2 linked regions of the Callithrix jacchus genome follow. The main gene of each other region encodes a partner of the protein of the gene in region 2 in a complex. Links are inferred from orthologs where the notes say so. Each region holds a gene or a part of one and is shown on either strand. Other genes may lie near its edges.

Region 1 (3,657 bases), on a different chromosome or scaffold from region 2:
ATATTAAGAAGATTAAAAATTTTAAATGTAGCTAGCAGCTTTACTTCTAATGTGAAGTCATACATATTTAATAGTTTTATATGTACATAAGTACCAATAAATACTAAGGATTTTGGCACAGTTTTATAAAACATTATGTAAAACAGCAGAGCAGCAGTTTTTTGCTTCCTCAAAGTATTGTTAAAGCAAATGAAGCAACTGACACCCTTCCAATGACTGACGCACTCATTTCACTCCTGACTGCTCAGCTTATTTCAACCCGCTATTGTTTTCATCTTGTTCTTTACTTGTGATATTCTCCAGCTTTAGGCACTATTAAAATGTTATAGCTACCTCATCTGTCCTAAGTTAGGGGGTGGGGTACAAGAACAAAATAGTGACATGTATTGTATCTACATAAAACCTTATGTAGAAACCTCTGAATTTATCAAAACACTAAATTTTCCATCAGTCTTATGTAGCAGATAAGAGTTAGAGTTCATTATTAAACACTAACTTATATAGGCTCTGTGAGGTAACTTGACAACTGCATTTTATTCCTACGCATCTTGTCCAGTATTGGGGAATTTGATCCAATATATGTTTGGGCTTTTTTTTTTTGAGACGGAGTTTCGCTCTGTCACTCAGGCTTGAGTGCCGTGGCACAATCTTGGCTAACTGCAACCTCAGTCTCCCAGGTTCTAGAGATTCTCTTGCCTTGGCCCCACAAGTAGCTGGGATTACAAGTGCACACCATTACTGCTGGCTAATTTTTGTATGTTTAGTAGAAATGGAGTTTGCCATGTTGGTCAGGCTGGTCGTGAACTTCTGACCTTAGGTGATCCACCTGCCTTGACCTCCCAAAGAGCTGAGATTACTGGTGTGAGCCACTGTGCCTAGCCCGATACATATTTGGATTTCGTAAATGTCAAAATCCGAAATAAGACATAAAAGACACCCAAGGGAGGCAAGGGAACTTTTCATTAACGGCGACGAGGACCCAACTCACTGGTTTTGAAACTCATGTTTGTGTCATACCTACAGTTCAAATAAGGTATGCTTCTTTTACAACACTCTATAGAATTTATATAAAAGTCACATTTTTTTCTCATTCAAAAAATATAATTCTCATTAAAATAAAATGAAAATTTACAAATGTGGTTATAACATAAGCAACATACCTGCAGGTATGATCGTCACTCACACTTGCAATTCCTTGGCCACTTTCGGGATGAAACACCAAACCATTAATGAAATCTGAATGGCCCTCTAAAACCTGACAGAAAGAGAAAACTTAGTAAGAAAACAGGAAAATCTATAATATTCCTACACAATATTTTTGCTTCACTGCCTTAAAAGCTTTCACTGCATGTTTTTCTATAAATATTTCTTAAGCAATCTGCTATTTTTAAAGCATGATTTATACACCCACTTTTTGGAAGGTCTATCTTGGAAAGAAATTGATCATTCAACACACTATTAGCTTAGTCTTTCTTTTTTAGTATGCATTTCTTACAAAAACACACATACATTTTTATTGTACCTGTCCTCATATCACCTCCTTTCTCACTTTTTATATAAAGCTTAAATAAAAATTAGAGCTAGAAAACTTTTTAGGAGTACTGAGGTAGAGTGCCTCTAGGTTTTTTACCTTATAACTGTTGCTCTGTATACTCACTACTACTTAACAAACACACACAGGATGGACTTCACGATCTAATGCCTTCATTTACATGTTCAATGTGACTGCCAGCAGTGAAGACAGCTAGTTGTTGTAAGACTATAGTCATCATCAACACAAAAATCTTTGCCTTGACAGAGAAGCAACAAATGAGAAGTTGCATGGTAGAGGACTGTGTGAGCAGGTAAGGTTCAATCTGTCTAAATCTTCATGGTTGAAATCCTAAATAGGCCTGTCAGATAATTACTTTAATGATTATCATTTTTTCTACCCTTCCTTCTTTCCAAAAATTCAAATTTGATCTCATTCTGAGGTTATTAGAGCAGTTCTGTATAGTACTGATAACTATGTAGAAATGTAACATGAAAAAAAGAAAAAAGATTTGGGTCAAACATTGCTGAAAACTTTCACCAACCCAGGTCCTCCAAATCACTCTCCAAAGCTTCTGTCATAGCCTACAAGGCAAACTAAATTAACCGTGAATGTTTAATGTATATTATAACTACCATTTTAACTTTGGATAGGTCAAAATTTTATGTGCATTTATATACTTGGTTATTTTTGTTATAGCCTTAAATCAGCCAATCTGTACAATAGGTTAAGCCAATTGTAAATAGCTTAGAGCATAATTTTTTACTATTTTCTAAATGATTGGAAAGGTTTCATTTATCTTTGTTTTATAACAATATTCATATTTTGGTTTATTAGAAAGCCAAGGCAATACCATTCTTATAAGAAAACATGATGGAATTTCAGCCCAACCTGAGGGTAATTATTATGGTAATAGAAAACACACATATGGGTTTTGCTGTGTAACAAGCATTATTCTAAGTGTTTTATATGAATTTGCTCAGTCAACGCTGATAATTCTATAAGGCAGCTGCTATGATTACCCACATTTTACAGCTGAGGATATTAGCACAAAGAGATTCGGTTACTTAACCAAGGTCACACCATTACTAAGTAATAACACAGAGGTTTAAATGCAAGGAATCTGGATTCTGTGTCTGTGCTCTTAACTACTTTGGAATCTGGCCTGTGCTATGCTGTGCTGATCATTTGTTCCCTTGAAGTTCAACTCTTACTCTATGGATGTTCATGTTGATTATATTCCTAATATTTCCAACTTTGAATTTCTAATTCTTTCTTATTTGTTGTTCCTACCTAACATTTCAAGTTAATAAGTGATACGAGATTTATAATCTGCAGTCATTATTAAGAATATAGTTCTTAATATAGTAACCTGGTTACTATTACCTATAATAGAGTAAATGAGACCCTAAATTATATACTTTAATGATGACCATAAAAAGCCATTTTAAATTGGGATAAATTCAATTAAAACAGCAAAAAATAAACATGTGTTAAAATAAACTCTAAAGATTTGTATAGCTGTCAACATACCTTATATTCATTTTTATCTTGAAGATCTGAAGTAAACAATCTAATTTTCAAATCAGCAGCTGAAGTACAAAATCTGGAAGCAATAAAAAACAAAAATATTCCAATTTTCAGCCTTTGAAGGGAAAGGTCTCTCCCTCCCCTGATCTTTCCCTCCAGGTCACTGAAGTTGTTATCAGTAACTCATAATCTTGCTTTTTATGGAGGAAGAAAGAAGAATGTTGTGGCTCCACTGTAAAAAGTATTACATAGACATCACAGAAAGTAGGAGTAGGAGAGAACATATAAAAGTTTAGTTTATTCTGGATTTGCTTCTTCAATAATAAGTATAGAATTTTACACTAAATCAGCACTTGAATTTAATTTTAAATGTTTTCTTAAAAGCATAAAAGGATAGATTTTAAAAAGTATCTTCATTTTAGCCAGTCAACAAGAGATGTTAAAAATATTGTTACACATCTACCTTAGTCTTTGCCCTCTTCTGTTATCCATAGTTTATCCAGTCTCCTTAGTTTTTCTATTTCTCCAAATAAATCAGATTATATAAGATACTATTTTTATACCTATAAGAGCTGACATACTTGCTAAAGGTTGGA
Region 2 (2,772 bases):
GCTATTCAGGATGTTAAGATGGGAGGATCATCTGAGCCCAGAAGGTCAGGCTGCAGCGAACCATGATCATGCCACTGCACTCCAGCCTGGGCGATGGGAGTGAGACTCTATCTCAAGGAAAAAAAAAAAAAAAAATTAACAGAATAAAGATTAAAAAAAAGCCCCATAAGTAAAGCTAAAAACTAAATTAAAAAAATACCTGTATCATACAACCAAAGGCAAAAAAACAAACAAAAAAAAACCACATATAAAAAGATGTTACAAATAAGAAAATGCCAAACTACCTCAAAAAATGAAGAGGATATAAGCTAAGAATAAAAGCAAGTTTTAAAAGAAATGCAAATTAAACCAAACCGGTATTATAGTGGGAATCATAACGGTGAAAGGCTGGAAACATGAAATAATCAATAATAGGCAACCAATTGAAATAAATTATGGTACACACTCCTACAGCTTAGAATATTAACTAGCAGTTCAAAATGATAATAGAAAAAATGTGTTTACTGCTAGGGAACATGCATCCACAAAGATAATATATATATGTATATTTCATTTTATTAAGAAATTATATACATTGATGGATAGAAACGGATATGAAGAGTATTGTCTGTTTGAAATTCTAAGTACTTAAAACTTTCTTTTCTGTAAGTTATTTAGTAACAAAAAGTCTTTAAAAAATTAGTCCCAGCAATAATACTATAGACAGATCAGAAACCCAAAACCCCCTGAGATAAAGTGGCATTAAAAAAATTGAAAATAGGCAGGGTGTGGTGGCTCACACCTATAATCCCAGCACTTTCGGAGGCTGAGGTGGGCTGATAACCTATGGTCAGGAGTTCCAGACCAGCCCTGGCCAACATGGTGAAACCCCTTCTCTACTACTAATTAAAAATTAGCCAGGTCTGGTGGCGCACACCTGTAATCCCAGCTACTGGAGAGGCTGAGGCAGGAGAATTGTTTGAACCTGGGAGACAGAGGTCGCAGTGAGCTGAGATCATCACTCCAGCAATAAGAGCGAAACTCTGTCTCAAAAAAAGAAAAAGAAAATATTTATTAGGACAGAAAAGCAAAACCTTATCATAATTCCATAATTATGATTATTGGAATTATAAAGTAAATAAACACTTCAATTGTCTAATAGTACTGATTTATCATTAAGGTCTCAGGTCAATAACACATTTAATATCTAACAAATTTTGGAAAGATAGTATCATTAAAGTATCTTAAAACACTACATTAGGTCATTATTATCTCTGCAGACAAGAATAAAGATGGCTGATAAGACTATAGGTGGCTAAAACAAAAGGATTAAAATGGCAAAATTCTGGTGGGGGGTGGGGGGTGGGGACAAAGGTTAAAAAAAAAAAGAAAAAAATGGCACAATTCTTCACTCTGATTATATTATCATTTGATTAATCACACTTGTTAAGCATTGAATTTTAGTTTGGAAGTCAATTTGCTTATCAATATGAAATTCTACTTTATCACACGATGTCCAGTTTGGCAATTTTCAACTATGCCGTGAAGCTAAACAAAAGCTAAATTCCTTAGGAAAAATGTTGTGTTTGTTCCCTTTTCAACAGAAATAAAGTTGGGTCTAAGGAGTTGAAAGACTTCTGCTCAAAAACCTATTCTGAAAAAGGAACTTGTCAAAACATTTTCATCTTTAAAAAATTTCAGGATAGGTACAGTGGCTCACACCTGTAATCCCAGCACTTTGGGAGGTTGAGGCAAGCAGATCATGAGGTCGAGACATGGAGACCATCCTGGCTGACATGGTGAAACCCCATGTCTACTAAAAAACACAAAAATTAGCTAGGTGTGGTGGCGCACCCCTGTAGTTCCAGCTACTCAGCAGGCTGAGGCAGGAGAATTGCTTGAACCCGGGAGGTGGAGGCTGCAGTGAGCCAAGATCGCACCACTGCATTCCAGCCTGGCAACAGAGTAAGACTGTCTCAAAAAAAAATCTGTCTCAAAAAAAAATTCGAACATGGCTATACATCTTTGTTATTTTTGCTCTACTCAATTCTTTCTGAAAACATTTACTATAATTATTAAGGAAATAAAGTGTGGAAGGATCATAGGAAATACTTGCAATAAAAAGAATAATTGTTAACATTGACAATTGCCACTAGGAGGCGTATACTCCACATACTACTGATAAACATTGTAGGAACCCATTGGTGGTTCCCATAACCACCACTGATGTTGTGTTAATTGCCACATCTAAAACAAAGAACTAGTCCCATGAGCTGTCAATAATACTCTGAAGGCAACCTATTCATCAGCACCAGGATCCCACTGATTTTCTTGCACATGTTCACAATCTTTTGCCCTCTGTCATCCAACGGATTCTACAACTGTTGTGGGAGTGTCAGGCTAACAAAAGCCAAAACTGGGCATTGACATTAATGGCAGTTTATTGATGTTTCCCCTGCAAATCTCATATTTTCTGATAATAAAAGTTTGCACAGATGTTGGATTTCAAAAGGCTAATTGTGTGTTCTACCTGAAATCTTAAAATTACAGTACTTCTACGAAAAAAGATGTCTAGTAACATAAATTGCTTCTGCATCGGTTCCACAAACAAGACAAGGACCTAAAACATCCAAACTGTTCACAGACAGAGTCCTACTGGGAAGTAAGCTTGTGATTTCAATTCGGTCTTTTGCAGGATCCGTGCTGAGCCAGGAACTAATGACAGATTGGTGAACATTAGCTTGGTTACTAATGCTATGAGACAAAAATGTACTGGTTCTTCCTCCTGAAAGA

What was found.
Region 1: NUP43 (region 2) and NUP37 share a complex: the UniProt entries of both Homo sapiens proteins name them as parts of the nup107-160 subcomplex of the nuclear pore complex. The link is inferred for Callithrix jacchus from reciprocal best matches to the Homo sapiens genes NUP43 and NUP37.

Annotation. Positions count from the first base shown.
Region 1 is NC_133510.1:105,138,162-105,141,818, forward strand, and holds part of NUP37 (nucleoporin Nup37), read right to left. Parts: intron 3,138-3,657; coding exon 3,065-3,137; intron 1,256-3,064; coding exon 1,161-1,255; intron 1-1,160. UniProt on the Homo sapiens protein: Component of the Nup107-160 subcomplex of the nuclear pore complex (NPC). The Nup107-160 subcomplex is required for the assembly of a functional NPC.
Region 2 is NC_133505.1:156,504,970-156,507,741, forward strand, and holds the end of NUP43 (nucleoporin Nup43), read right to left. Parts: intron 2,765-2,772; coding exon 2,535-2,764; 3' UTR 536-2,534; downstream 1-535. UniProt on the Homo sapiens protein: Component of the Nup107-160 subcomplex of the nuclear pore complex (NPC). The Nup107-160 subcomplex is required for the assembly of a functional NPC.